Linked DNA regions of Arabidopsis thaliana. The protein of the gene in region 2 interacts with the protein of the main gene of each other region in a biochemical or structural test. Each region holds a gene or a part of one and is shown on either strand. Other genes may lie near its edges. The genes, in order: AUR1, AT1G09200, EDM2 and GTE3.

What was found.
Region 1: of the proteins of AT1G09200 (region 2) and AUR1, one has a biochemical effect on the other in vitro, tested with the Arabidopsis thaliana proteins (one study listed by BioGRID).
Region 3: the proteins of AT1G09200 (region 2) and EDM2 form a complex in vitro, tested with the Arabidopsis thaliana proteins (one study listed by BioGRID).
Region 4: the proteins of AT1G09200 (region 2) and GTE3 interact in a test that uses a peptide from one of them, tested with the Arabidopsis thaliana proteins (one study listed by BioGRID).

Annotation. Positions count from the first base shown.
Region 1 is NC_003075.7:15,838,872-15,846,185, forward strand, and holds AUR1 (ataurora1), read left to right. Parts: upstream 1-3,571; 5' UTR 3,572-3,685; coding exon 3,686-3,721; intron 3,722-3,966; coding exon 3,967-4,086; intron 4,087-4,226; coding exon 4,227-4,373; intron 4,374-4,461; coding exon 4,462-4,557; intron 4,558-4,640; coding exon 4,641-4,736; intron 4,737-4,828; coding exon 4,829-4,925; intron 4,926-5,007; coding exon 5,008-5,125; intron 5,126-5,212; coding exon 5,213-5,285; intron 5,286-5,381; coding exon 5,382-5,483; 3' UTR 5,484-5,994; downstream 5,995-7,314. Other genes in the region: AT4G32820 (Tetratricopeptide repeat (TPR)-like superfamily protein), read right to left, coding at 1-1,606, 1,724-1,935, 2,061-2,101, 2,177-2,296, 2,409-2,483, 2,581-2,583; PFK6 (phosphofructokinase 6), read right to left, coding at 6,139-6,261, 6,351-6,505, 6,583-6,631, 6,734-6,990, 7,111-7,240. UniProt on the Arabidopsis thaliana protein: Phosphorylates specifically 'Ser-10' of histone H3 in vitro and colocalizes with phosphorylated histone H3 during mitosis. Associates with cytoskeletal structures that are necessary for cytokinesis and with the microtubule spindle.
Region 2 is NC_003070.9:2,969,173-2,975,201, forward strand, and holds AT1G09200 (Histone superfamily protein), read right to left. Parts: upstream 3,163-6,029; 5' UTR 2,961-3,162; coding exon 2,550-2,960; 3' UTR 2,399-2,549; downstream 1-2,398. Other genes in the region: AT1G09195 (Ppx-GppA phosphatase), read right to left, coding at 203-322, 403-483, 591-632, 810-962, 1,191-2,285; CRT1b (calreticulin 1b), read right to left, coding at 4,045-4,056, 4,154-4,270, 4,355-4,384, 4,546-4,593, 4,687-4,782, 4,868-4,935, 5,443-5,500, 5,583-5,669 and 1 more. UniProt on the Arabidopsis thaliana protein: Core component of nucleosome. Nucleosomes wrap and compact DNA into chromatin, limiting DNA accessibility to the cellular machineries which require DNA as a template.
Region 3 is NC_003076.8:22,447,946-22,458,713, forward strand, and holds the start of EDM2 (ENHANCED DOWNY MILDEW 2), read right to left. Parts: upstream 6,861-10,768; 5' UTR 6,470-6,860; coding exon 6,051-6,469; intron 5,957-6,050; coding exon 5,860-5,956; intron 5,630-5,859; coding exon 5,576-5,629; intron 5,464-5,575; coding exon 5,327-5,463; intron 4,941-5,326; coding exon 4,844-4,940; intron 4,735-4,843; coding exon 4,633-4,734; intron 4,526-4,632; coding exon 4,281-4,525; intron 4,201-4,280; coding exon 4,111-4,200; intron 4,031-4,110; coding exon 3,458-4,030; intron 3,391-3,457; coding exon 3,240-3,390; intron 3,160-3,239; coding exon 3,058-3,159; intron 2,962-3,057; coding exon 2,869-2,961; intron 2,550-2,868; coding exon 2,508-2,549; intron 2,346-2,507; coding exon 2,235-2,345; intron 2,092-2,234; coding exon 2,020-2,091; intron 1,917-2,019; coding exon 1,798-1,916; intron 1,693-1,797; coding exon 1,629-1,692; intron 1,533-1,628; coding exon 207-1,532; 3' UTR 1-206. Other genes in the region: AT5G55400 (Actin binding Calponin homology (CH) domain-containing protein), read right to left, coding at 7,590-7,922, 8,010-8,101, 8,211-8,307, 8,401-8,558, 8,659-8,858, 8,946-9,098, 9,179-9,390, 9,567-9,683 and 5 more. UniProt on the Arabidopsis thaliana protein: Cellular antisilencing factor and regulator of genome DNA methylation patterns involved in the regulation of chromatin states.
Region 4 is NC_003070.9:27,501,856-27,509,069, forward strand, and holds GTE3 (global transcription factor group E3), read right to left. Parts: upstream 4,552-7,214; 5' UTR 4,142-4,551; coding exon 2,942-4,141; intron 2,845-2,941; coding exon 2,799-2,844; coding exon of another isoform or gene 2,746-2,798; exon of another isoform or gene 2,701-2,745; coding exon 2,608-2,700; intron 2,519-2,607; coding exon 2,472-2,518; 3' UTR 2,118-2,471; downstream 1-2,117. Other genes in the region: AT1G73130 (mucin), read left to right, coding at 1-41; TBL31 (trichome birefringence-like protein (DUF828)), read right to left, coding at 278-635, 744-890, 973-1,172, 1,272-1,443, 1,524-1,888; AT1G73160 (UDP-Glycosyltransferase superfamily protein), read left to right, coding at 4,679-6,139; CLE1 (CLAVATA3/ESR-RELATED 1), read right to left, coding at 6,870-7,094. UniProt on the Arabidopsis thaliana protein: Probable transcription factor that binds to acetylated histone H3.

The DNA.
Region 1 (7,314 bases), on a different chromosome or scaffold from region 2:
TGACAGTTCATATAAACCTCTACATCTATAGGCTTACTCTTCTGGCATGCTTTTATTAAAACCTCAAGTGCCGATAACTCAACAGAGGAGATCCCTTCTTCCGTTTTTACAGCGTATGCAGGCAAGATGTCTTTATCTGGAAACAAAAGAGGTGCCAGTAAATTTACACACTCCGAATAAAATTCTTTCTCCATCATCTCAGGTATGTTATTTTCCAACAGGAAATCAATCTTAAGCAGATTAATTTCATGAATGATTCTATTGATGGTCAGCTCTCGAACTCTTCTGCAATGAGGTCGCTGAATTAAGACAGGAGCTTCTCCGATACCTTCCCTGCCCAACAATGACAAACACCTGAGATATTCTTCAAGTGCTTTAGCTTTATTATCCTCCAAAATTGATAACCGTGCACTCAGCCAGAAATATCGAGCCCAGAAAGATCTTGTATCATAATCTAACACCTCCTTAGCAGCCTCATCACCTTGAAAACTCTTAAATGAGGAGTCAGAAAACATTTTCCCTCGAGAACTAGGTGTAGAGTCGATAGCATAATCAAGGGAAACAGATTCAATTATCTTAGAGAGATGGTATGTTACTTCTACCATGCATGATGGGGCATCAGGGATATCTGATCGTTTAGAGTCAAAGTCATGGTACAGCTCGGCGAGAAAAAGACTGCATTCAGGTTTCCGATCTCGGCCCCAATGTCTTGTAAGCTTTTCTAACTCCAAAATTTTCAAGGCAGTCTCACGACTCAATACATGTTCACATTTATTAGCAATATATTCTAGAAGCAAGTGACCCATATGATACGCACCATAATTTTCTAAATTTTCCTTCACAAAATTAGAAACGACGGCGTGTTCAGAAATTGGATCAGATTCTTCATTGCAGAAAGAACCAGCAGACTCTCTGTCAAAACCCCTTTTAAGGACAAATTTCTCAAGATATTGAAGGATGTCACTGCTAGGATCCTTACTGTTATCAAATTCTAACCCTTCCTTCTCAGGTTTCTGGTTCCGAAGCCGTTCAAGACGAGTACTCCGCCTCTCTTGGGGGTGTTCTTCAGAAAACACAGGCTCTTTTTCTTTTACAGAACCACCACTTTCTCTCTCGATGTTGCAATCCTTAACAGACACATTACTTGAATCTGAATCCACACAATGATCCTTCTTTTTCATACCTTGCATAACAGCCTCTGTACTAAGGGATAATTCAATGGTTATCGGTATATCAGCTGATATGCCCACAGTTTCACGCGAAGGATGCACTATCCCAATTAGAATATTTAGCAGTGCCACCCATGAAGCTTCAGGAAGTTTAAATTGCACTCTTTTTCTTAACTTCTTGGAGGTAGCATCCATGTCCTGATTCATGTCAGACACCTTTCTTTTGCCAAGAAATTTGAGCCGAACGTGCTGAGGTTCAAGTTTATCTATACCCTTGGGAGCAAAAGGAGCTGAATCTGTGTCTTCAATACAATGTTTAACATGCAAAGCACGAGAATGTGATGGCCAATGCCTTAAAATCAGATTTGCAACTGAAAGACAGGAAACTTCATCACCTACGGCAATGAGAACTTCTAGAAGTTTCTCCATGCAGTTCCCTGCACATTAGCCAATTCAATTTTCAAGAGGGAGGGAAGGGTAAATGCAATAGTCCATACCACATATGAGTAATGTGAACCCAAAAACAGAGAGAGAAAGAGGAGAACAGTGCGTACAGTTATTGGGGCTGCAGAGAAGTCCCTGTTCAAATGCCCATCGTGAAATACTCAGTAATCCCATAGAACATGATAGGGTTCCAAGATGGTTCCAGAGCACAGAATCTTTTGCATCTAAGTCTATAGCTTGAAGATAACAGTTTAGAGCATTCTCGTAGTGACTTGAACCAAGCTCAAGAAAGACAGTGGCAAGATTCTTCAGAGCCAAAAATCTGCAAACAGAAATTATTTATAGGCGAGACCACAGCACTAATGAACTAAAAATATATGAACTAGACAAAATCAATTAGTAGACATGTAACCAATAACTAGATGAATTAAAACGATGGAGCTTGACCTGAGATGATGGAGATGATTGTCGTTTGCAATAGTCTCCACCTGGACATAATGTCAATAAGAAGGTCATTCATCATCCAAAGAAATCATCAGAGTAAGTGAAGAAGATGATTTTACTTTGGAGTTGGTTATAATAGGATCTTTAAGGATAGATTCTAGCAGCTCCCGAGCCTTGTCATAGTCTTTAGCTTGCAGCTTGAGAAGACCATCATGATATGTTTGTGACAGATGAAACTCCTGAAGAGGGCAATTTAAAAAAAAAAACAGTTCAATATATTTTTCAACAATGAGCTAATCTAACTTCTTTATACCAAATTGAGAAGAAAGAAGCCCTGAATCAGAAGAAAACCTGAGCTTCTTTGCTAGGAGCTAAAGGTTCCCACTTCTCTGTGGACTCCGTATCATTGATCGCTGCAATCGAAAACTGAAAAAAAAAAAAGCGAAACAAATGCAAAAAAAATCAAAAACTAACCGATTAAAAGGGGGATCAAAATTAAATCTTTGCCCGAAATTATCATTACCATCTTGATACTCGAAGCTGGTAATGGTTGGGGTTTTCGAGTTCTTGGCGCGAAATTGGTCAATCTTCTTCTTCTTCTAACTAGGGTTGATGATGCACGTTAAACACATTACTAGAGTTTTAGATTTCACAGAATTCTTTTCTTTGTTTGGTCTGTTCGTCCTCTACTGTGTTTTTCTTTTGTTTTGGCTATTTTGCCGTCTGTTAAAAAATTGGGGTTTTCCGATAATGTATTGTATATGCCTGAATTATGGAAATATCACTAAAAACACTTTTTTGCACTTTTGTATATATTGCAATTAAGATTTAATTTTTCTATTTTGAAGACTTTTTGTTAAAAGAGAGATTTGCTAACTCAAAATTACCGGAGTTAATAAGTTCGTTCTCATCAGATTAGCAAAACATTCATCTTTAAAGAAATCTGTTTATCTCACGTAAAATTCTACTAATTGGCAGCAGCACACTACTTTAATGGGCCTATTACTATTTCAATATGCACTGAAAACTTCATTGGACTGTCCAATAACATTATAACATTATTAAAACTAAACTACATTTGTATTTGGGTTACAATTTTATAAAGAGTAAGACTCAAGATACTAATTGGGCTGCAGACAACTTTAAAAGCCTTACTACAAAAATCAAAACCATTCTTAATTAACTAACAACCAGGTAAAAATCTCAGTACAATATTTACACTAAAAATAGGTGCCACCCACTATGCAAAAGTTTAGGGCCACGAACAAAAAAACCTGTAAATTGTTATGTCTTCACAATATGTGTTTTAATACACATGAATTTTAGCTACGGTTAATGTAAATTTTGTAGTTAAATTAAGGCTAAACAATCTCAAATATAAATTGGTCAGGTCCACAGACAACAGCCTGGCAAGTGGCAAGCACTAAAAATTCGACCGTTATTTTTTGCCCCTTTTTTTAATATTTCGAAATTGTATCTTTTAGTTTTATTTTAAAGCTTTTTAGCCCGCTCCTCCTCCGCTCCACCTTTAATTTTTTCACCAATTGGATTTGGATCTGTCAAAAATATTGGCCTCTTTCTCTCTTTCTCTCTTGCTCTCTTTCTTTGTTGGGTTGATCTCTTCTTCCATGGCGATCCCTACGGAGACACAACACCAGGAGAAGGTACTCTTTCACCATTCCATGATTCCTTCGTGTCGTTTTTAGCCAAATCTTTTTTCCGTTTCTTTCGATTTTTCTTTGTTCTTCCTTTTCTTTTGCACGATTTTAGGGTTTGAAACTTTTGTGAATTTGAACAATCGATTTATGTTTGGAATAGAAAGAGAATCAATTAGGGCAGATGTTCAAAAATTGCTCAATTTCAAAGCAGATTCGTTTCTAGCGATGATCTGAAAATTGGTTTTTATCAGGAGGCTTCAGATGCTTCTGCAGCAGCTGCACAAAAGAGATGGACTTTAAGCGATTTCGACATCGGTAAGCCTCTTGGCAGAGGCAAATTCGGTCACGTCTATCTCGCCAGAGAAAAACGGGTCAGTATATAACAATCTATCATCTTCCACCATCTTTCAAATTTTTGTTGTTAAAATCCAAACTTAAGAAGCATTTGTTTTAGATCCTTGATTGTTTTTCCTTCCACCAATCTCACACATACATGCAAAATGTGAAACAGAGCAATCACGTTGTCGCTCTAAAGGTTCTTTTCAAGAGCCAGCTTCAACAATCCCAAGTTGAACATCAGCTCAGAAGAGAAGTTGAGATTCAGTCTCATCTTCGTCACCCCAACATACTCCGGCTTTATGGCTATTTCTATGATCAAGTAACTTTTCATTTTTCTCCTTTTTTATTCACAGATAATTGTTATCCAATCTACTCTTGAGCATGATTAAGTTCTTCATTTGTTGCAGAAAAGAGTTTATTTGATACTTGAGTATGCTGCTAGAGGCGAACTTTACAAGGATCTTCAGAAATGCAAATACTTCAGCGAAAGACGAGCTGCTACTGTTAGTCATTCCTTCCACATTTTGACCTCTCAAACTGATTTCTTGTATGAAAACTGATATCCTTTCTATGTTCATTGTGCCAGTATGTTGCCTCATTGGCGAGGGCTCTCATCTATTGCCATGGCAAGCATGTGATACACAGAGATATTAAACCAGAGAATCTGCTAATTGGTGCTCAGGTGATGATATAAGCTTTACCTTTTCCTTTACATCTATCCATTTGATTATGAAACTAGCTAATATTATTATTCATGGATCCTTAACTATTCAGGGTGAGCTCAAGATTGCAGACTTTGGTTGGTCGGTACACACATTTAACCGAAGAAGGACCATGTGTGGCACACTAGATTACCTTCCTCCTGAGATGGGTAAAGTTGAAGGCTTGCTAAAAAGTTAGTTCTGGTGGGATCTAAATTCTTTTTAACAGTGACCTTTTGGATTGTTTTACAGTCGAAAGCGTAGAACATGATGCTAGTGTAGATATCTGGAGCCTTGGGATTCTCTGTTACGAGTTTCTTTATGGTGTACCTCCTTTTGAAGCCATGGAGCACTCAGACACATACAGAAGGTAAACAGCATTTGAAATCTACAATTATAGTCTGTTTCTTGTGGGGTTTGTTTGATGATATTTGTTACCACCAATGATCTATATCAGGATTGTGCAAGTGGATCTCAAGTTCCCTCCCAAACCAATAATCTCTGCATCTGCAAAGGATCTTATTAGCCAGGTTATATTCTATACCTTCAATCTAACAGATACACTTTGATGCAAGTGCTAGTTATTGAATCTGAAGTCTCACATATTTTCTCAATTGTATGTATAGATGCTTGTCAAGGAGTCTTCGCAACGTCTGCCATTGCACAAGCTTCTGGAGCATCCGTGGATCGTGCAAAACGCTGATCCTTCTGGAATCTACAGAGTTTAAAAACAAAACGCTTACTGTTCTCGCCAATCTCGACCAAAACTGTTATCTAGAAACCCAAAACTGTATTCTTTCTTACTATTATTTTTCGCTAATTCATGTTCCAAATAATGTGTATTATGTAGTATGTACTAATACTATATGGCATTAACGGAAGAAGGAAACTCTATAAAGAGTTGTTAGCTGAAAAATGTTTCTAATTTCACCTATGACGATGAGAACTTCTAGAAGTTTCTCCATGCAGTTCCCTGCACATTAGCCAATTCAAGTTTCAAGAGGGAGGGAAGGATAAATGCAACAGTCCATACCACATATGAGTAATGTGAACCCAAAGACGGTGAGTTTGATGAAATGGTTTGCCTATTTGAAGGGTTATTTACAACCCGCGTGTTTATCCGTTTCCAGAGGCAAGATAATGACGATTTTTTACAAAACAATGTCAATGGCATTACTCTGTAACTTTTTACAAAACAATGTCAGATTTTGTTATAAACTTCTAAATTAATAGTAGGGATTAGTGCAGAATAGTAGAGATGAACTTCTCAGGCTTGGATAAGAGGTTACCAGAGACGAAGAAGATAACAAGACAGAATATCATTAATGGTGATGCAAAAAAAATCAAATGACGGAATGTAATTTTGCCAAAAAATTTTTGCTATTAGTCGGTAAACTCCGTGGTTCCTTTAGGAGGGTTCATGAAGCTGGGCTGGTTTGTAGATGACAACATTCGCGCCCACATTCTATCTGTAATCACAACTTTGTTCTGTCTTTCGGTTATTCGCTGCGCAGAGAAAAGGAAAGAAACAAAAAAAGGATTAAAGCTCGATGATCCAATGGCAAGGACATATACTTAGGCGAAGAGAAACTTACGTTAAAGGGAATGTAGGTGTGCCTTCCATTAACAAGACCAGAGACAAAGCCGGTATAGCCAGCCATTGCACCATGGACTGCGCTTTGGGCAAGGAGAGTTGAGTAGACGTTGTCAGATGCATTGGCTGGAATAGCTCGGATCATGTATGTCGGATCTGAAACATGGTTTGAGTCATATTTCTAATTCATGAATCTATGTAGCTCGACTTGAATTTGGGGAGGACAAACGTACCAATGTATTTAAGAGTAATGTCCATTACATTGTGCTTCGCAAAGTATTCCTGTAACAAGAGCCAGAGAAGGAAACAACTGTAATAAACCCACATAAATATCTTGTCTTTTAGGTGAAAATATGGGACTGAATCTCGTTGGCAATAATTTACCTTGATTTTAAGACTCATCCATAGTCCTACATCTTTAAGGAGCTTGTTTCCTGAAGCATCTTGTTGTTCAATGCTCTCTGCAACAAGATCCTGTCCTGCTCCTTCAGCAATCACTATAACCATGTGGCCATTTTCTCTGAGACGTTTTGCAATGAACTCATAGAGCCCTCCTTTGCCTTCAAGGTAAAAGGGTGACTCGGGAATCAGACAGCAGTCAACATCTCGGCTAGCCAGAGTAGCATACATTGCAATGAACCCTGCAGTGTAGAAGCTGTAAGATTAGATAAAAGCGTAGGGAGTAACATCATAAAGAAGATACTTCTGTGGTCTAATATTTGTATGCATTACTGCTCTCCTAGATTCTTCTGTGAACTTACCACTGTACCGACCCATTAGCTTGACAATTCCAATGCCGTTTTCCACACTGGTCGCTTCAACATGCGCTGCATTAATAGCACGTTGAGCCTCCTCAACCGCAGTATCAAATCCAAAGGACTTGTCAATGACCTAGATCAGAGATACTATCATCAAATTGAGCTTCTTGCGAACTAACCAGAATAGGAGAGGAGGTTAAGGTTGAG
Region 2 (6,029 bases):
GAAATTAACTAACAAGTTCGAAATTTTCACAAGATTTAAATAAATTGACTAAGAGGTGATCAGCATACCATTAATTTCATTGGAAGAACGAAATGAAGAATGCAGGGAATCTAGGTACAACGGGGTTGATTGTAGAGTTTGAAATGGTTATTATATGGGTTTGCTCAGTGTAGGAAGTAGAATGATTAAAAGATGTACTTACGAGTTTGAAGATCTCGGAAGATTCAATAAATTCAACTTCTTGGAGATCCATATTCTCATTCCGTTGAAGTGTAACTGATAATCGTGTAATCAAACACAAAATTATGAATTTTCGCTTTGCCTGCAACAGAAAACATAGAATCAAAACAACCACATCAACAAATTGATCCTGGTTTGCTAAGCTGATATATGACACACTACCTCCCCAGTGAAGCCCTTAAGAGGTGCACGATCAAGCTTGGGAAACTTTTTTCTTTGGTATCTCACAAGCATAGCTATAAGCTGAAAATAATATGATAGTAATCAGAAAAACAGTAAATTCCACAGCAGTAAAAAAAAAAATGTAAATTGAAGACAAGTTCCTCCTTATAGAGGATTAAGTACCCTACCTCGATTTCCTCAGCAGTGTAGCTGTGGAGATGATCCCCATTCTACGAAAGAAGAAACTATTAATAACAATGTGGACAAAACAAATACTGAAAACCTACAAAAATTTTCTAGTAGAAACATAGAGTACTCTTGGTGATAAGCTTTTGTGAGTTACTTTTCCAGATTATAAAGAGCTGTGCTTATTGAATGGTATGTTTGACAGCGTTAGATGAACTAACCTTGATGATATGATAAGATTGCTTATGATAACCCTTTTTCCCTGTGATGATTCCGATATTGTGCAAGAAACAAGCAGCTTCGAGATACTCAAGATCTTTATCGTCTAAGATAACCTTAAAATCATTGCACTTCCTCAAACCTAGATAGATCTCCTGGAAAATCACTGTACTATCAAACCTACTGAAACAAAATGACCATATCCAGTTGTGCAAAGCTTAAAATGAAATTTGAAACCATTAGGCACTAGCGCACACACACAAAAGAGATATATATATGACCAGAGGAATGCATATTTAAAAGGTATGACAAAAAGCTACAATCTTTATGAATATCTGCCAACCAATATTTCACAATTAAGTTGCTCGTGAAAAGGAATGTACCTTTGCAATCTTGGCACAGTGTATCGCATGAGTCATTCGCTTTTTACCACTGAAACGCGTGGCAAGCCTCATGACCGATCGCCATCTTGCATTAGCATTTAAATCATATGATCCATCAAAAGCTTTGGCCAGAGAATCAGCAATCACACCCTCTGCCAATGCATACTCTGAGACCTCCATGTCCTCTATGCCAAGAGCCTTGAATATTTCCTCCAACAATACAGCCCCAGCAACAATGAACTCTGATCTTCTCTTGAAAAATCCCTCCCTTCGAATCAGCTCTTCGTCTCCTTCACTGCATAGCTTTGCTACAACGCTGCTCAGCTCTCTTGTACCAAATCTCCAGTCCCTCTTATACCCTTCCAAATTGAAATCACACAAATCAGCTCCATAGCCACTGAAAACTGCATTCTCAATAGCTCGTATAGTTCCAGAAGATCCCACAACAACCTCAAAACCATCTGATTCATTCAATTTTTCTGCTAACCTAGACTCATCAATCGCATGACGAATATAGTCTCTCATTTCCTTCAATCCAATACCATTTTTCATAAACATCTGCGTCAAATTCACGTGACCTAGCTTTAAAGAAACAGCAAGCTTGACATCACCACACTTACCAACCACAAATTCAGTAGAACCACCTCCAATATCAACACACAACACTGATTTCTCAAACACAGGTAAAAACTGAAGCACGCCTAAATAAACTAACCTGGCTTCCTCTTCACCAGAAAGCACATCGACCTTAAGCCCAACATCCTCAAAAACCGCATCCACGAACTCTTCCTGATTCTCGGCTCGCCGTAAGGCTTCCGTTGCAACGCATCGGATCCTATCACCAGAGACGTGGTGCGAGAGAATTAAACTTTTGAATTTCCGTAGAGATTGAAGCGCGCGAGCCTGAGATTGAGACGAAATTGAGGTTGGAGATTCACGAGACAACACCACTGGCTCTTTGAGTCTCTCGATTGGAACGAAAGATCTACCGGAAGGCTCAGCTTGGACTATTAGAAGCTTGAAAGAATTTGTTCCCAAATCAATGGAGGTGAAGACCTCCGATGATATAGGATTCGATAGCAGATTGGAGTTCATCTTCGATCGAATCACAACTAATTAACAATGATCTTCACAACAATTTCAGCGTCAAAGCTGATTAATTTGTGAGACTATAATGAGTTGTGAACTAGCACAAATTAACCAAACAATTAGTGATTAATAAAGTCAACTAAAAAGTCAATACTTTGATAGAACAAAAGATAATTGCTTGGAATTAATATTATAACCCTTGGATTTAACTTGAAATTTTACAATCTTATGGTTCTAATCAAAACACAAGAGTAACCAGAATACTTAGATCTAAGCTCGTTCTCCTCTGATTCTTCTCGCGAGCTGGATGTCCTTGGGCATGATCGTGACCCTCTTGGCGTGAATGGCGCAGAGATTGGTGTCTTCGAAGAGTCCGACGAGGTAAGCTTCAGCAGCTTCCTGAAGAGCGGCGACGGCACTGCTCTGGAAACGAAGATCGGTTTTGAAGTCCTGAGCGATCTCTCTGACAAGCCTCTGGAAAGGGAGTTTACGGATAAGAAGCTCAGTGCTCTTCTGGTACTTCCTGATTTCTCTTAAAGCAACAGTTCCGGGTCTGAATCTGTGTGGCTTCTTCACTCCTCCGGTGGCCGGAGCAGATTTCCTCGCCGCTTTTGTCGCCAGCTGCTTCCTTGGAGCCTTTCCTCCGGTTGATTTCCTAGCCGTCTGCTTGGTACGAGCCATGAAGTAAAATGTTATTAAGAAACTGTTTGATTTTAATTTGAAGATGAGAGAAAGTTGAGATCTGGATAGTTTGTTTCGATTGAGGAAGGGGATATTTATCGTCTGGAAATTACAAGAAGTGGGAGGGAAAATATTTCGCTTTTCTTTTTCAGCGGGATTAGATCTGGATCGTTCATTGGTTTTTAATCAACGGATATAAGAGGTTTCTATCACGATCCGCGTGAAATCACAGCAACCGTAGATTAATACAATTCTACGGACAGATTTCATTCTTTTCTAACACTGATCCGCGTGAAGGTACGAAGACCAATAGAAATAAAAGAAATAATCTAAATATATTATCTTTACCAAAAAACCAAGCCCATTACTTAATAGGGCCTGCGTAATTGTTTTTCTTTTTTTGGTTCTCAATCAGCTTTTTCTGGGCTTAAATACCATCTCAATATGCTAGGACGCTGTTTTGTATAAAGATTGTGACTTCATCTTTTGAGAATGACATCATGAATTAAAATATTGCTGTCTAAGGTTAAGGTAAAACAAAGATTGCACTGCATTCGTTCTCTAGCGTTCTAAGCATCTGTGGTTGGGGTACAATTATCTCTATATAATTTTTGTTATCTCAACATCTGTCTTCACAATGGAAGTGAACCCAGTATAAGTGTATAGACAATGTGGAAATTGTTTGGAAAGTGAAAGACATTCTACATTACTACTACTCTAGTATCAATCAACTTGCAGGGACGTTGGACTGTTGGATTATGGACTTGGTGGTCTGTATTGACTGACAAGAGACTAACAACAAATTCTCAAAGGGTGGGGAGCAGTGAACGAATACACCAGAATCCGATTTTGGCGGACATTGGCTTAGCAGAGAAACAAGAGTAGAGAAAGAGAAGCAACTGCAAAACTTCTTCATGGTTTTTTAAAGTCTAAAATGAGCATCTGACAGACATTGTATCCCCCTTTTAGTTTTGCTAAAACTTGTTTCTATCTCCGACAAACTAGATGCTAAAATACTTCAAAAGAAAACGATAAAACAATAAAGAGACTGAAAACTTTGGTCTTCAAATCTTCAACCTTTCACCTATAGCTCATCCTGCAAAACCAAATCACGCAGTTTTAACCACAACTCAAGGAAAACAACAAAATTATGGATGAGTGAAATTTCTCCAAGTGATATTGTGGTAGCATACATGAGCGGTGGCGTCTTTCTCAGAGGTTTCCTCGCTATCTACTGATTTGGTCTCCTCGGCCTTAGATTCAGAATCGGAATCATCTCCTCCTTCATCATCCTCTGGTTCGTCTTCAGCCTGGAATTTATATCACATATAATATTAGGACCTTGACAGAAACAAACAAGACTCTAAAAAATTTGATCCTTCACAAGTGCTTACATCAGATTCCGCAGGTGCGTCCTTGGATTCCTGTATCAACACAGAAAAAGGAGAATGCCGTCTTAGATTATCTATTCCCAACTTGGTTACAACAATTACATAATTGGCAGTAGAAACTCCACAAAAGTCCAAACTACTTGTTTTAGAGAGATTCAAATGAATTAAGCTAAATAATTAGGAGAGATATTTACCTCTTCCTCATTCTTCTTCTCAGCCTCATCGAAAGCTGCTTTCTCCGCCTGCAATGTGATATTAGATTGGATATTCTGATCAGTAACCAGAAACAAAAAAAAAAAAACTGTGTTATGAAATTGGGTATTTTAAACACCTACATCCTTGAGCTTTCCCCATGTTTCATCTGCCAACTTCTTGGCATAGTCTGGGTCATCGCAGATCAAGACATTGTCGAACAATGATCCTGATTTCACCTGGAAGAGTAACATGTATTAGATGAGAGTCATGGGAATAAAGCATATCTTCGAAGGTCATTCAAAGTGACAAAGATTTATTTACCTGCCACAATTCGAGTCCAACATATTTCAGCTTGGGGAAGACGTAGAGCTCTGGGTCATCCTTGAAGTCTGCGGTAATCAGTTTATTTTAGGCACACTAATTGTTTATTATTATGTCTAAGAGAGCTAAATTTTCATGTAAGTTAATGCAAGCATAAAAAACAAAAAGTTGCGAGTTCTACAGTTACATCCAAATGAACATGATATAAAAGTGTAAATAAAGGTGAACAAAAGATATAGATTACTAAATGTGTCAAACTGGTGTGACCATGGATTTAATGATAGAGAAGATAAAAGAAAAACCAGGTTAGTTACAAACATGTTTCTATTTAATAGGTTAAACCACTAAACATAGAGACGCCAATAAACCTTTTGGAAGTAAAGGATTACTTCAGCATTTGAGTTTAAATGAACCCTTAGGCCTTAGACTTAGATAGTCCTTCTACTTAGTCAAGAGAAATCTAACTGGAGAAGATTTAGGCATACCAGAAACGACCATCAAACAACAAAGAACAGAAGTTGAACCACAAATTACATGCAACATGGATAATATGGCCACAGAGAGTAGTAATGTACCAGGGTTGTCAATCAATGGAGCCTCCCACTTGCCCTTGTAGTTGGGGTTCTTGATTTGCTACAAAAATATTTGACAGCCTTGAGAGGAAGAAAAACGTTGACCAGGATATAGATACTTTTTGGAATAGAAATTGACAAACCTTAGGCTTCCATTCACCCATGTACTCAGGGTTGGGGATTGTTGGGGCAGTCCACTCACCATCTTCTTCATCATCCCAGTCCTCAGGCTAAGAGAAAGGACAACGAAAAATCAGCAAATACGGAACACAGCAAGAGATTTTAGATTTTACATCAATTATAGACAAGTATGAACCTTCTTTGAGTCGGTGTCTGGGATCTCCTTAGGGATATCATCGTAACCGTCAGGTTTCTTGTCTTCAGGGTCAGAAATGTATTCTTGTTCGTCCCAGTCCTCAGGCTGTACAAATAAATAAAAGGATCAATTTGTATGATGGATGGTATCTCAGGTATAATCAACCAAGTTCATCAGAGAGCTTTGGTATGGTTTGTGGTTAGTTCTAGTTTGCTCCAAAATTGAGTATAAGTGGTTGGTTCTCAGTTTAGCCTGGTTGTTCATAAGAAATAGA
Region 3 (10,768 bases), on a different chromosome or scaffold from region 2:
AAAATATGACTCAAAAGTTTAAGACAATAGAAGCTGGCTTCTTTTTCTTTTATATTATTAAACAGCTAAAAGGCCCACTAGCTACACATGTGAGTGGCAGAGAAAAGTTATAGATTTCTTCTATTCTTCCTACACTTTCGTAGAGTGAGACACAAAAGATCAATCAAACTACTAATGTTGCAACTACAAGGATAATGAGTGCTGATCTAGTCATTAATCCAACCGCCAGATCGACTCATATAAGGGTAGTTCGGGTTCGGGCCAGGGGCAAAACCCCTTGGACTCATTTCGAAGTCACTAGGTGGTGGCGGTGGCAGTGGAAAGTCATGAGGATTTAAGAGATTATGTCCGCTAGGTTGCAATGGAGGCTGAGGTGGGAAAGAGCTCATCCTCTGGTAATTCATTTGATCGAAATGAGGCGCATAACGTTGTTGCAATGGGAATGCATTGTCCATCAGATTTGGAGGAGGAGGAGGAGCTAACATGGGGTCCAAGTGCCCACCGTACTGCTGTGGATATTCTCTTTGACCAATCCCTCTATCAAGGTCTGAATATCCTCGGAAATCAAACATCTCGTTAGGACCATTTCTCAATGGAAACTGATCCGGTAGGAAAGGAGGATCCGGCATTCTATAGCCTCCACCGAAACCACCATACTTAGCAGCAAGACCATCGTCGAAATGGGACAAACTTGCACCATAAGATGGTTCAAAAGCTTCAAACGGTTTCTGACCCGTATTTTCTGGCGATGGACGAACAGTGTAGATGTCCTCTCTAGAAGTTCTCACAGAGCTAGGCCTATCCCGACTCACTTCAGGTTTTCCAGTGCCCTGCACTTTACAACCATGTTCTCTAATATTCTTTCCCAAGTTACTTTTTGTCCTTGTTATTGCAGGCAGAGATGCTTCTACAGCCTCGTGAGATCTTTGAGGTGTTGTAGTGGAAATTGATGTGCAGACAGCATATATATCATCTGGGGAAGACCTAACAGGACTCTGCCAATCAGATGTCATTTCGGGAATTTTTACTTTGATGCTCTCTGGTGCTCTACTCAACTCTCCTTGATCCTCTTCCATGTCATTGCTCTTCCAATCCACATTATTAGAATCCATAGATTTCCCAAGCTTCCTACCAGAGTAGTCTTTGGTCTTTCCCTCCTTTTTCAGCTGACTTCTCCGTGACAAGTGATCTGACTGATGTACACGTGCTACAGTTTCTACTGTGTCGATTTTCTCAGAGACTAAGATTTTATTAACGCATTCAGCTACCTCAAGTTCATCCTTTTCCATAGGAATATCATCACACATGCCATCAGAAGCTCCAAGTGGATGCAAAGATGCGTTTGCTTCTTCTTCCACTATCTTTAACTTTGAGCTCCCCACATCCCTAGACAAATGGCAATGCTTCTCCGCTATTTTCTTGTGCTTGGCTGCAAAGTCGGACCGACTCCAGAGAGAAAGTGGCGGAGGAACAAGGTTCCAGTCTTCCAATTGCTTGTCTTCTTCATTGACAGAACCAGGCAGGTAAAATGACTGAAAGGAATAGGCAAGAAGCATAACATGTAACTGAAACTCAATAAAGGCTCAATCTCTCAAAAAGCAAAATCAAAAGAAAAGCGAAAGATTTACATTTCCAGATAGGAACGTCTTATCCTCCCATATAAGCACATATGATGACTTCTTTTTATCTAACCTGTTGAGAAAAGTGATAGATTTAACAAGAGAGAGAGAGAGGAGTCGATATATTAGTGTTATGGAATGGTACAGAGGAGCAGATGAGATAGATGGAAACTGAAACCTTTCAGTCTCGGGAGGAACAATGAGAATGAGAATCTTTGGGCGGAACTCAAGAGCCTTGGTAATAAACTTGTTTGCAAGAGAAGCATTGACTCCAAATGGTGGATTTAGCCCCATAATCTACTCATAATTCCAAAAATATAAACAGTCAGATACTACTCAAACTATTTCAATGACACTGGAGCTTACACAAAGTTCATACTAAAGGAAATTTGTGTCTTACCAGCTTTGAACCTGGTTCCAACTCATCTTTACTTACAGTCATCCAATCCTTTCTCTCAAAATTGAAATTATTCTGAAAGTAAGATAGCTAATCAATGAGTAATCCTAGAAGACTGATGAATAGAACACACCACGATCTAACATATGTTGCTTCCGTATCAGTGATAAGACTTTACAACTTACGACAATAGTAGGCACACACACACAAGTCATTACCTTCGCTGGAAAAAGATCGTAATTTTTATATAAGCACTTCTTCCCCGTTTCTTCAAGCTTCGCGTTCATCAGACAGCTAAAGTCATTAGAACCACAACAGAAGTCGACAATCTGTTGGAAGAGATCCCAGAAACCAGACATCATTGTTTATGCACAAGACATTGATCATTATACTAACAAGATCATACTTCAGAATATAAGAAAAAAACTTAAGAGAGGTAAACAAAATAATAAAATTAAACCCAACAGATAACGTTTGTGAGCAAATCTCACCATATCACCATCATCTGCATACCAATGCAGCCTATCAACAATCTGCACAAAAAGTAATAATAGGTCTGGTCAGGTACAAGCTTCAGATACAGGAGTTAAAATTTGACAAGAGTGTGTAAACAGCAGGTGATAGTCACTAGTCACGCAGGTGACAGAAAGTGTAAACCAACAGCATAATAATCCTCACAGAAGACAGATTAAGTAAGCTAATTGGAAAGACATAACATCCTACATTTTAAGAGTCATCTCTCCTTGAATTTTTTTCTTTCTCACTAATTGACTAAGTGTGAACCGAAAATCCTTGTAACATACAGGATGCTTAGACCTAAATCTTGTTTATGCTTTTAAGAGGATAGATTACCTGTTGAAGTTTTTCAGGATTAGTAAAATGACGACCAAATGAGGTATAGCGTGCACCATGGAGAAAAGGAGCAAGATAAACTTTGAGCTTATCCTGAAGCAAAAGAAATAAACATCTACAGGATTAGCAAAAATTACTAGTTACAAACAAAGATAAATAAAAAGGATGTCGAAAAAGCTAAGCTAGGACCTTCCACTTGAGGATTTGGCTCAGAACCTCTGGCTCACAAACTGCTTTTGCATCCTCAATGTTTCCTCCTTCCTCAAGCTTTTTTAGTGCTGTTCTGATAGCCTGAAGAACCAAAATTTTAAATTCATAACTAGAGGGTTAAGAGAGGCCAGATAGGGATCGGGTTCAGATTTTTAGCCCACCTGGACTGATCCCTCTACCTTCCCCATAGTGATTGTCTTGTCCACAACATTCCTTGTGGAGTGTGTACTCATAGTAGATTGAATTTTGAATTTCTTTAAAATAGTACCCATAGTTATTTCTTCCGTAGCTTTTTTCATCACTGCCAAGAGCCTATTGACAAAAGTAGATTACAATGGAAGAAATTTACTAATAGGCCCCAAACAACAAAAATACAAACCTCCTTTGAGAGTCGTTGTCTAATGTAGGAATTTCACTTCCTGGCTCCTTGGAGGCAATTGAGTCAGTCTTATTGTGCTTGCTATCAACAGGAATCACGCGCCCAGGTTTTACTGGATTAGGTTCCTGGGTATAACTAAACAACCTCTCACCCAGTGAAATCTTGCTTTTACCAGCATCACGGGCTTCTTTTACTCCCAGCTTGTTTTTGCCAGCTTCACGGGAGTCTTCCATCATCTTCTGGGATTTTTGTGGAACCATTTTATGCTTTATGGATGGATCAATATCCTTACGTTTCCTCGAATGATCTGGTACGGATGAAACTAATCCATGCTTCTTTGTGGAGAAACCATCTTTTGAAGAAGGAAACGAACTTCTAAAGGAATTCTTAGAAGCTTTTCCACAAGTATCTTGTAAGGCAGGATCCTTAACCTTAAGTCTTGCTTTATCTCGTCCCACATGTGATTCCAGTATCCTTCTTTGCTCTTTCACGAAGACCTTCTGCTCTTCCGTGAAAGGAAACTTAACATGGTCTCTAACTGGTGTCAGAAGTTCTTCATCTATCTCATGTTCTCTAGGCAAGGTATCTCATTCAAAATAAGTGTCTCAAGGTAAATAATTATAAATTCAAAATACACCATATATGAATCTTACTGGCAATATATGAGTACACGGTTGTGCAAGAGTCCGTCCCATGCCCTAGTTAATATATCCTCGTCCTCAATATCTTCAAAAGAAATTTCCCTAGAAACCAACAAGACAGTTATTCAAATAGAGTTCTGAAATAGCAATAGAAAATGAATGATGAATGAATGAAGGTATACCGCGGTAGGCATTTTCTATGGTAGGACTTTGGACAACGCCGGCAAACAGCAAATTGCAAATTAGAGTCTGTCTTAACCTCTCCGTTTTCACAGACACTGCATTTGTGCAATGGGCATGTATACTCTCCAGCAATGATTTGTCTTTCTAGTGCTTCAGACTCTTCTTTATTTCCTAAACGTAGCCGTCTTGTGACACAGTGAGGATGGTAAAAGTAGCCACAGGTGGCTGACACGCATTGGAAAACCTATGAACATGTTTAAAACACAAAGCTCAACCAATTACTTGTCAGTCACCATTATCAACAAAACATGTCTGAACAGCATTCAACATTAGAGATCAATAATTGCATACCTCTGCTGCTCCAGAAGAGTTATCAGAAGAGCCAAGGTTCTTGCAAATGAAGCATTGATGTATCTTATGCTCACAGTTTGGGCAAAAGTATTTCTGAATTGCCTGGAAAACAATCCATAAACAGCATTAACATAGACTCCATGCCTACTCAAGAAAACCAAGACGCCCAGACATATTCAGAACTAATGAAAGAATCATATATGTTACATACTTCCACTTGCATCTTGTTAAAGCCAAGAGAATCACAAAGTGAATCTTCACCATCTTTTTTGGTAGCATGAAATGATCTCAGGCAGCTTCCTTCACAACTGCAGAAAGCAGAACACAAGACTTATGCATCTGGAATAATAACAGTGTATCTTTAGAACCTTTGAAGGCCTCAATTGCCTCAAACGCTGAATTTGCGTTTGCATGTTTCACAGTATTAAAACATTTTCAGTGTTTCATAAAATATTTTTGCAAATGCCAAACGCAAACAGAAGGTACGCTTGAGTTTCAAATTAGCAAAGGAAATTGTTCAAGACGCTAAAGGTTGTAGACTATTTGAGAAAATTCACACTAAATGTAAAAGCAAACGCTGGCATAAACGCACACAAATAATCAAGGCCTTATTCTAATAAAGAAAGTAAAAGGTGTAAGACTAATTATCAGAGATAATCAAACTACAAGATCAATATCCAGCAAGGAAACATACCACAAAATCTCGCCACCATTGTCACATATTGCACAAACAGACTCAAAAAAATCATCGTCTTCATCATCCAATTCATCTTCATCGGAAGCTACATAAGTGTCCTCATCTCCAACTATGAAATCATCTTTTGCATTGTCCTAATAAGTAATAACAAGTTCGTATCAGAAACTAAGACCGTGTGAAAGTAAGGGAAAAAAAGGGAAACGGCACATTAGGAAAGAGTACTCAAGTGGGAAAAAAGATTCGAACCTCGTCAGGTAATCTCCTTTTGGTAGGCTTTTTTGTGAGAAATGCAAGTATAAACTAGTAACACAAGAAAGAAAAACAGCACAAAATTAGGAGAGAATCAGGGTAAGAAAATGATACATATACAGAAAACATTCAGGCCAGAAAGCGAGCTAAACTCTTGATAACAAATATGGGCATCACAAGCTCTCAGGAAACAAAAGCTACAACACCTATAAGAGATTTAATGGACTCTTCTAATTCAAAAATCCCAAAGACCAGAAACTCTGAAAATTCTCCATACAAACCTTCGAATTCGCCAAATTTCTATCTCTTTTCGCAGCTTCAGCGATTAAACCAATATGATCCACCAAATCATTCTGCGATGGCTTCACATCATATGACCTAGAAACAACATCCAATCACTAAAGTTAAAAACCAAAAGAATGAAAACTCCCAGAGAGAAGAACAAAAGACCTGAAAAGCACAAATCAATCACCTCAAACTTCTAGTTAATTTCTCCCAGAGAGCTTTCTCGGACGCTTGGGGATTCCTCCTAAGAAACTGAATGGAATGCAACGTGACCAAAACAGTTCTAATCAATTCCCCATAGCTTTTCCTCGGTTCCTCAAGCTTAATCCATATATTATCCTTCGTAAGAACAGAAATCTCAGGCTGGAAGTTCGAAAGATCGTATCTCCAAGCCTTAACAAGCTTATGCAGAGGCAAAAGGCCGTTATCAGATCTTCCTCGCAAGTAAAAACCTAAACCACTACCATCAACTTTCTCCTCCACGCTCCATTGAATTGGGAGACGAGCAAACGAAACAGGCTCTTTATCATCATCTTCGAAATAATAATTGGAAGCTGATTGAGGAACAGAGAAGTCTTCCTCTTCATCATCGTCAACGAACGTCATTCAATCCCAAAATTCCCTTAACCCTAGAGACGTTTCAAAACACAAACGATCAAACGGGACACAACTTTCTCCTAAACCCTAAAAGAAATAGAAATTCAAAACTCGAATTAGGGTTTCGTTTTAGGAGACACAATGAACATGAATTGGACAATGAAGAAGACGAATAGCCTGGACATTTAAAGTCCTTCAAAGATTGGTACATCCAAAAATTGAGAAATTGAGAAAACGGAATTGAAGAAGTAAGCGAATGAATTGATTACGAAGTAGAAGAAGAGAAGTGATAAAAACCTATGAGAATTATCGTCTCTGTGTGTTGATGGAGATTATACTATGACGCAATTGAATCAAAAGAGAGTAAGAATTGAGGAAAAAAAAAGAGTAAGAATCGTCGTCGTCATTATTTTTTTCCAAGTTTATATACTCGCGCACGTGTGCAAGCAACGCCGCTGAGATTGTGTTTTTGTTTTTTTTTTAAATATGACAAATTCTTAACATAATTCGTTTTTTTTAGTTCCCTTAAATTTCGTTCTACAAATCTTCAGCATAAAATACGAATAAGACCGAGAATATTATATCCCTCTCCTTAATTAATATTTCGTATAGATTTCTCTATTTAGGGTTTTTATTGGATAACTATTATTCGAAGCAGGTACGTTTAAATAACAAGTCATGCAAGAAAGCATGCGCCTGGCTCTTGTAGCACGTTTGGTCTGCGATGGCACTGCAAAGTGCAACGTGTGACTGGTTCGACGCTCGAGCCAGGCATCAGCAGAGAGAGAGAGAGAAGAGCAAGCAACACCAAACAACAAAAACAATAAGTCGATAAATATAAATCATTTGAGGTATTCTTAAATATCTCTTTTTTGTGTTTTAGCCGACAAAACGAATGCAAATCATTCCTTTTCAGCACAGTTATAATTTTAAATGACATTATTTTATGAAGATAAAAAACAATGACATTTTAATGTTTACTCCATAAAATATTTTTATCTTTTTATCTTTATTGTTATTGTGGTAACAAATATAGTTTTTATTTAGTAGTAGTAACACAAACAGAGGTGATGTGAAAAAATATTACAAAGCAACTCTGTTCCGGCAAAGATAGTTCAGTCTTGTTGCTCTATTCGTTAGCTGCTTCCTCTGAGATGGAGGTGATATCTGACAAAATGTCTGCGTCATTGTCTTCTTCTATCGTTAGGCTCGAGACTTCATTGTCTTCTTCTATCGTTAGGCTTGAGACTTCGCCATTTAAAGAAGAGACTTCGTCTTCACCCGTGACAGATGGAGCTGGTGAAGCATCAGTGCTCGTGCATGTGCTAGTGCATGTCGTCGTCGTGCTATGAGTTGATGATGAGTCTGAACTCGAACTTGAACTCTCTGACGATGATGATTGTTGTTGAAGGCTCCAATACATTATACTTGCCGTTAGGATTAGTATCATCTTTTGATTCACCTGCAACAAAAGACATTTAAAAACATCAGATTTACATTTTGATGTATGTTGTTTTCTTGTTTCGGAAGATTTGATTCCGTTCTTTACCTCCACGATATCTTCTGGCAACAAGAAAACCGAGCAACCAAGCTTTCTTGCTACGCTGACAATGTATGTAGCATTCAATCTCTTCTCATCGTCTGTTACAAAGTTTCCATAGCGAAAAAATAACGATTAAACAAATTCAGTTTGAACAGAGAAGAGAAAGAGAGTGAAGAGGTTGTGAGTGTAGTTAGAGAGAGTAAGGACCTGATTCACCCTTGGTGACAAGATTCCAGTTAACAACTCTTGGCTCAACCGCCCATAGAAGATCGAGGAAGAATAATCCGCTCGATAGACTTTTATCCTATTGAAGTTTAGCAAGACAGATTTTGTTCAACATAAGCTTGTTCAGTTGAACTTTTTTTTTTTGAGTTTTGATAAAAGTAAAAGATGGAACCTTGAAGCTTTCGATCTGCGATTTCCGCCCCATGATTCTGACTTTCCTGTTAGCCCAGCTTATGATTTCTGAGTCGGTCATGTCTTTTCCTCGTGTCCGAGATCTTAGACTCTTGAGAAGTTGGAGCATATGTGTTCTCATCAACTGCCATAAGAAGCCTGAGACATGTATACACACCTTTAGTGTTATACAATTTCTAAGACTGTTGAGCATCTTAACAAAATAAACATTTTTTAGCTAGCTAAGAAGAGTAATTACCGAGGATAAGCTTTTTATTTCCTTGAACAATGTCATTTCCAGCTACATTTACGAGCGAGAATCTCATCTCTTTCCCAATCTTCACGACTTGATTGCAATTCTCTACTTTTCTAAACGGCATCTTAATTGGTGGTTTTGAAGCCTGCTTCCAGTTAACTGAGCCTGGATAGACCTTATCAACAACTTCCAGAAGAATCCATCTGCATCAGAAATATTCAGTATTGAAAAACTTATAATACGTTTCAGGACCAAAAGATTATAAATTATTTTGCATACCAAATGCTTACCCGTTTCTAACATCTTCAAACACATTATTGACGTAACTCTCAATCCCGAGGCTGTTAATCCATAGCCGGTAACATCTTTCGTCTCTGCAAGTCTGTAAATCCTCAGTCATCATCTCCGCAAAGGAGAATCTACCATCAGTGCTAAGGCCATTCCTGCAGCAGGTACAGAGAAGCTAGTGTGTAAGAAACCAGTACATAAGAAAATATTCTATCTTTAGTGATCTTTTACCGACCTTTCATGAAATATCTGTGCCACAAATGCTAGATTCAAATACGAAGACCCCTCAACTATCTCCTCTGCAGTCAAATACCGTTTGCAGTTCATTCTCTCTGCGTGTTCGAGGACCATGTTAGCCCTTTCAAGATCATCCTCTGCATTTAGAGTTGCTGGATCACAATGCTCTGGTGCGAGAACATTAAGCAGGTAAGCATAGGCCTGTGCGTCCTGCATAGTCAACAATCTCAACCATCAACATTAAGAAAAAATACCAAACATTTTCATAACTAATGAGTGATCTGTTGTTTTTTCTATTCAAACTGATATTGCGTCAGCGTGTTGGAGAAAACTACTTGATGAAGCTTTTGAAGGGACAAAAAAGAAGATTTGCTATTTGGAAATACCTTCAGATCCGATGAAAAATTTCCAACAGTTTTTTTGTAACCACCTTTCTTGAGATGGAAGTTCATCCATTTGAGCAAGACTTTCTCTGGGGGTAATCTCAGAAATTCTTCTATATCCTGCAACAGACAGAAACTTGTTATTAATATCTACGACATGCTTATAGTTTGGTCAGATATTCACAAATAGATTAGCAGATCGTTACCTCGTTGTCCTCCACCAACTCAACAAGCTGAGGCATCTTCTTTAAACTAAGATCGGCAAGCAGTTGAATCTGCAGTTTCCAGCATTGGTTAGTAAATCATCAAGCACAAACACAAGACAGTGCACATAGCAAACAAGTATGGACCTTTATGAGTTGTGAGATCAATCCAAGCACCAGATGAGGCTGCAAAAACAATGAAACATCTGCAGTCAGAATCTTCTATATTCGTCTCAACCAATATATTATGATATACTGAAAAGTGAAAACTAAGCAAGTATAACATACTCGTCCTTCAGCCAGGTCCTGAGTCCCGATATTAACCACACTGCAGCCAACAGCTTTTGCAGAGTTAAGACAGAGCGTGTGATTCTCATTTCTCTCCCATGGGTTAAGTACCCTTTTCGTGTTGATCGCTCGTTCATCTATTGTCCCAGGAACTGCTATATTTATAAGCTTACTGTGCCAACAAAGGAAAAAGAGAGTACAAGTCAAAATCCAGAAACCAAAATGTACTAATGTTGAGACTGAAATCCAAAACACAAATTTTCACATAAGTTCATTACCATAAAAGCACACCATCTTTCACAAGTTCATACAAATCATTTGAATCCGGATCTAAAGGAAGAAATTGCTTCAAAAACGGGTCATCCCCAAGATATCTATTGATGTGAAGAACAAAAGAACCCTTCTCTGACTGGTTTATGGTATGAAGAGTCGTAGTGCCGGCTTTAAGAAATGAAGATGAATGCTTAAGACCACCACCAGCTTTATCAGCAGCTTTATCTCGCAAGTTTAGATATACCTACACACATTACACATCACATTCATCAAAAGAGATTCACAAGAACAAACAAAACACAACACAACACAGAGAAAGATCAAACTAACCTTGAGAAACGATTCGAAATCAAGATCATCATCACTTTCATAATCAGAACCCAAACCTCCCAAGATTTCTTTGATTTCTTTCTCCTTAAATGATGAACTAAGTGACTTCAC
Region 4 (7,214 bases), about 25 Mb from region 2:
TTTTACTTGAATCAGAAGATTCCCAGTGGGAGCTATTGTGAGAGTTTTGATCATTTCATATAGTAGTTAAAATCCGGCCAGTGTTTTATCTTGAGTGAGACTCCTGTTACTATATTTAAACATAAATGAGCTAATCTGCTCTGAGATTGAAGCTTTTTTGACAGTGAATAAACCAAAAAAATTATCCTATCTTTTCTTGCACTCATATCTGCTACAAAATGAAACCCATTGTTGATAAAACTTAAGAAACTTGAGCTTAACACTCCCCAAGAAGGGATCAGAAGAAATTGCGGTGACTGCGAAGCAAATATGCATAGAGAATCTCATTCCATGTATCAGGAACTCCTGGCAAACACCAGTGGATGCAATCTCCATAGTTTTTCGGATCAGCTCTCTGTTCCTTTGTCAAGAGCTTCCCTCTCCGTTCTCCATACACAGTCGTATGTCCATCTTTCCTGTATTCCGACAGTTGCGTAATGTTCAGGAACGTGACATTTTCTCCAACTCTGCTTAGAACATCACCAACAATCTTCATGATTTCTTGATTTGATCCTGTACCCCAATATGATCTTTTGTCTATTGGATATAACTCATCATAACAGGTTCCATCGCTCCCTGGATTCCACTCCCAGCTCCTTCCAAGATCACACACCAAAATCACTCTCCATGTCTTTGGAAATTGAAAAGGTTTGCTCTAAAAACTATCTATAATCTTTTATGTTTTGTGTTTGGAAGGAACATACCATAGATGAGTCGGAGACATACTCGTGAAGAAAACTTTTTGCTTCTCGGAATTGATCTTCGTCTTAAACCACTTGGCCCATGTTTCTAACGCCATTTTATAAGCAGTCGTCACATTATACTCTCGGACTTCACTGGTATCTCCATACCTGCATATGCGTATAAGTTTTCCTTCTAAGCTCTTCTGTAATGCAAGCAACTCGAATATGGCTTATGCGTTATATAGCTTACGTTGCATTGATCTTAGGTTGATGCATCCACCATACATAGCTCTCAAAGACTAGAACATCAACCCCTTCCCAGCTCTTGCTATGTTTTTCAATGGCGTCGAGCTTAACCAACCTTTTGTGTACTGTATGATTAGTTGCATGATCTGAAATCGATTCCACGATGAAAGGTGCCCAGTAATACTCGATGGATGCATTGTATTCCTGATCAATTGCATAAACTTTAGTATAAGAAACCATATTAGCCTTTTTTCTTACAATTCATGTTGAAAATCTCTTCTAGGAAGATGAGTTTTGATGTACCTCAGCTTTGAAGATCTTCATAGGAGGAATCCTATGGAAGGACTTCTTCTTCTCAGGAATTACTGATTGCACCATACAGACCATTGACTCGAACGTGCTTCTCTGCACTGAGTCTCCTATGAACATTAGTCTTTTGTTTCTCAACACGTCCAACAGTTTCAGAGCATTGAACCTGAAACATCTCAGAGGTTTTAAACACTGCGCAAGTTTGAATCTGAGATCATGAAACAACACATGCTTTTTGTTTCTTACCTTGGCAAGTCGCATGAGCTCGGTTTCCATCTCCAGTTCTGGTAATAAGAATCAGGCCGTCCATTTCGTTGACATGTTGTTTGTTTGACTAAATAAGGACAGCTCTTCTCTGTATAAAGAGGATAAGAGACATTGTCCCAAACCCATTGTCCTTCAAAGACATTGCAGCTCTCATCAAGCTGATCCTCTTTAGTGACAAACACTGCCTCTTTCTGTCTGAAACCATATAGTTTGGATATTCGACTTTCTTTGCTCTTGAGTTCATCAAGTATCCATCTCACGGATCCTAGAACTAGAAGACTAACAAGCACAACTTGGAAGATGGATTGAATCATCCTCGAATCTGCAGTTGTTTGTATAGACATTTGAAACAGACTTCTCGGAGTAATTAGCTCGTTTAGAACTACTTCTTGCTATTGAGCTGATGAATCTATGTTGGATGTTTGAGAGAAGCGTATGTCTTCACATACAAGCATAAAAAAACGACTTTGTTCCATGCAACCACCAGTTGGTGATCTTTCTACATTAGGTAGCATGTCCTTTGTTTTGGTGATTGATCTAAAAATAGTGATATGATACTGAAAACAACACAAATTTGCCAATAAAGGTCTCGCTTGGGTTTTGAGGTCAAACTATTCTCCGATCTGGCCCAGCAAGACTGGTCGAAAATCAATGCACAAATTTGAACGTAAGACCAAACAAAAAAAAACCAACTAAGAAGTACAGAACAAGCCTGTTCAATTGATGACACAAGCCCGAAACAAAAGACTTATGTCCACTTTTCTATACAATTAACAAGAACCCTAATACAGTAATACAGAAACAATCCGATGGTGGAAAAGAAGGTAACCTAGCTTTGCTATTTTAAGAGATGCAAAAAAAAAAAAAAAAGTTGGAAGTTGACACCACGATGGCTCCCACCTATGCTAAATACTTTCACAATCGTGGTTAATTACCGGTATCAGATTCATGTCCTGAGCTATCACTGTCAGAGCCTGCATAACGAAAAGAGGAATGTGAGTAAACTTGTTTGGAACTGTGATGCTCATAAGGGAGAAGAAGGTAAACCAGCTTCAACATTTACCACTAGAACCCGAGCCTGAGCCACTACTAGAACTGTTAGAACTACTTGATCCTCCAACATTTACTTCTTGTCGAACAGTAGATGCCACATGACCTTTTCAAGTGTCAAAAACATTAAAGAAGAGTTATTGTAGTGGGGCTAAACGACCAATATAGAAGAGCTTGATACTATCTTAAGAATTAAAATTTCACCTAATTCAGTAACTTTTGACGATTCAAGGCCAGTTACTAGCGTGTTCTGTGAAGACGGAAGAAGAAATATGATATCATTAGCCCAGTAAGAGTTATATGGTAAAAGTAAGAGAAGTGAATAACAATTAGGTATTTGCTCTCACCGATTCGTGCACACTATTGTGAAAAGATTCAGCATCTCTTTCTGAGTCTAATCCCTGTTCCTCCTTTTTCTTGCTTAAGCTCTCCTTATATTCAGTCACGAATCTGAAAAGCTCCCAAAGTGTTTCCAGATCAAGACTATCAATATCTAACTCAATCTCATCATCTTGTTGAGAGAGTTCTGGAGTTCTCTTCTTTATAATCTGCACAACTGCCTCTAGCTTGTCATAAGGTAAATCCTGGAGGTCTTCACTTAGTTGCCGCTTCTCATCAAACGTCAAGTCCCTGTTTGCAGACGCCTCTTCTACAAGCTTCTCGGGGACAACAGGTAAAACTGCAGGTTTCACTGGGTTTGTCATAGATTCAGCTCTCTCCAAAGTCCTATTTTCAACTACTTTAGGAGGAGGAGGAGGAGACAGGGAAGGTGTAGGAGCGGGTAACGGTAACGCCTCTACATTATGAGTGTTTGTCGAAACAGGAGCATGGAAATCGATATCACGGACTGGTTGTTGCTTCCTAATAAGTAACTCATACTGCGTTTCAAGAGGCACCCATTTCTCTTCAAACAGATTCAACAAAATCTCAGCCATATGATACACATCATGCCCCACAGGATTATACAGCATTGCATTGTTAAAAGTAAGTCTGACATCCTCAGCAAACTCCAAAGGTGACTTATACAAACTCTTACTCAACCTAGTCTTCACTGTTCCTAAATCCATAGGCTCCTTAATAATATTGTGATAATCATGTAAACCAAGCGTAACTACATCAACTGGAGTATTGAAAATCCATCCAGACTTATGCTTCATTAACTTGGTAAGCAAATTGTTGCAGCTCTTCAAAATCTGAACAGTACCTTTATCAGCAGCAGCTCCATGTACTCCACCTTTCTTACCACCGTTTGCTGTTTTCAGCTTCTTGTTCGGCACGGGAGCGAAGTTGTTACCTTGTGGTTCGAGCCGTTTGATCAAGCTCCTAACTTCCTCAAGCTCAGCTTGTAGTTTCCGCTTCAAGTTCCTAACTTCAAGCTTGGAAATTGAGCTTAAACTTATCTTCATCATCTGATGATTATCTTCCAACCCAAGCGAATTCGAATTCGCCACCGTGGGCTTGGATCGTTTTTGGCTTTTGTTGCCACTATCACTCCATTTATGCTTCGTCTTCGAAACTCCACCACCAGCTATAGGACCAGACGCCATTACCTTCGTTGACAATTTCTCTGAACGGAAAATTTTAAGGTTTCTCTAGAGATTTTACGCACAGAGACAGTAATTGGGGATTTCTGAAACAATGAATCGAAGATCGGGGAGATTAGGATCCGTGGTTCATGAACATTGACTGTGTTTGCAACGACGAAACCCTAGGAAGCACAGCGTCGCAAGAATAGCGTAGACACACGCGCATTATCTCACGCGCCTAAAGAAACCCGATAAATTAGGGGAATTACACATGTGTAAAGTGTGACGGAGTAATCACACGCCTACGTGTACAAAACAAAATATCAAACCGGGAAAACTAATTAGGTGTGATATCCCGGTTTAGTTACAAATCTCAGTTGGTTAAGAGAGATTTGACTTTCAATTGAATGTAAAAACCATATAAAAATTAGCTAAGCCATGTGCAATGTCATTGAGAAATGAACTTTGATATAATAACTCGAGAAAGATCCGAAATTTAAGCAAAGAATCAACATCAATAGTTGCACTCAATTCACAAAAATCAAATAAACCAAAACAATGGCCTTCAAGAACCATTCTTCAAGAACAACTCTTTCTTCTTCTTCTTCCACTTCATTTTCATTCAGATTCACAACAATCATTACCTTAGCATTCATCTTTTGTTCTTCTTACTACATTTTCTTCTCACAGTTTGATTACTCTCCGGTGACTTCTTCACCGGAAAATCCTCCTTTCGCAGGAGATCTTCGAGACCTGACATTCCCTTGGAACAAACTCTCACTTGGACCAATCTCGGAGAAGCTCAAACTCGCTGTCTTCTGCAAGTCATGGCCTGTTGGTTCGATCCCCGGAGGAATGGAGCGTCATGCTTACACACTCTACACTTCTCTCGCCTCAAGAGGTCACGAGATTCACGTCTTCACGGTTTCTTCCGACAGAAGTAACCGAGAAGAGTACTACAACAAAGGAGATCTCCATGTCTACTTTGCTCCAAACGAACACGGCTCACTTAACCACTCTCGAGCTTTTGAGATCTTCCATAAAATCAACAGTCTAGATCATCATTCCTTTGATTATGTTCACACTGAGAGTGTTTCTCTGCCTCATTGGCGAGTCAAAATGGTGCCTAATGGTGACATAGCTGTGACATGGCACGGAATCTGGTACGAGATTATGCATTCAAATCTTTTTCAAGAACTTTCCAATGATCGTCCTAGCTCTGATCTTCAACAAACGATGCCTAGACTCGTCGATGAAATCAGATTCTTCCCAAAATATAAACAGCATATTTGCATTAGCAACAGCGCGCGCGAGGTACTAGTTAACATCTATCAACTTCCTAAGAGAAAAGTTCACGTTATAGTCAACGGTGTTGACCAAACCAAGTTCGTGTATTCTCCTGAATCTGGAGCTAGGTTCAGGGCGAAACACGGTATTCCTGACAATGGGACATATATTGTGATGGGTGTGTCTGGACGTTTGGTGAGAGACAAAGGACATCCACTTCTATATGAAGCGTTTGCTTTGCTCGTTAAAATGCACCCGAAAGTCTATTTGCTTGTGGCTGGATCTGGTCCTTGGGGCAAAAGATACGCGGAATTAGGCGAAAACGTTAGGGTTTTAGGAGCTTTAGAGCCAGAGGAGCTCTCTGGTTTCTACAACGCTTTAGATGTGTTTGTGAATCCGACGTTGAGACCACAGGGGCTTGATTTGACGATCATTGAGGCGATGCAGTGTGGGAAACCTGTCGTGGCACCTAATTATCCAAGCATTGTTGGGACAGTGGTTGTGGACGAGCGTTTTGGGTACACATTTTCTCCAAACGTGAGATCTCTTGTTGAGACTTTGGATTCTGTTGTAAGAGATGGGCCTAGGGTTTTGGAGATGAAAGGAATAGCTTGTAAGGGATACGCTCTTTCGATGTTTACAGCGACTCAAATGGCTTCGGCTTATGAGAGATTCTTTATGTGTATGAAAAATGAGAGGTACTGTAGGTACCCTCTTTCCACAGATAACTGATTTGGTAAATTGGTATAGTTTTGTAAGTTACGTTGAATCATTTCTTTTGTAACAAGTTACTTGATCTCTTGCAAAACAATTTGGTCACACTATTCATACACATACTTAAGCTCAAGCTTGTCACGACTTGTAACTTTTTGTGAATTTGTAACGAAAGTGATGAAAAAGAGATTTTGGAAAATGAGTTTCGTAAAGAGCAGCATTTCAAGGGTTTGATCTCTGAAAAATTGAAGATTTGAAGACGTTGCTTCGCTCTTAAAAAGTATAATTCTCTCTGTTTTCCCCTGTTTTTTTTTTCTTTTTGAAAAACTTCAATCACTATCGTTCTCTCTTTATGTGATATTTCATTGGTGGACGATGAGGCAAAAGAGTCCATATATAATATATACTTTTCTACACGAGCCATTAGAGACTGAAAAAACAGGATAAATTAAATTAATTCAATCCTCCCTTATCATACTATATTTCTTTACCCTTTCTTGTTATATAACAATTTATATGCAAAGTCCTCCTCTCTACTAGACTACTATATAGTGGAATGTATAAGGTACGTAAAGCATGCACAAATCATAAATGTGTAACGAAACAGATACATCAATATATTGGTTACACCGAACGAACAAACAAGGCAAAAAAAACAAACAAAGAGGATCGATATGTTTTCTTCTAAACCGGTTCTCGATCAAGAACAAAATATACATCCTCGAATTCAAAACTACGAGAATAAGACTTAGTGATGGCGAGGATCGGGACCTCCAGGACTGAGTCTCATGGACTCATTAAAACCTCTCTCCATTAGCTTCTCCATACTCGCTTTCAACACTTCCTCTGCTTCTATCATCATACGCCCTCGTTTAATCCCGTCTGCGTTTGGGAACATCGGTCGAGACGCTGATGAACGCGATAAGGAAACGCAGATCAAGAACAAGCACAGCAAGAATTTCAAGTTAGCCATGTGTTATGTGACAATGGTTTCAATTTAGAAAGGTGTTAGTTTAATTTTAGCTAGAAAAATGGTATAGATGGGTTGTTGTGTTTTTTCATCACATGGTTGCGACAATTTATATAGAGAATG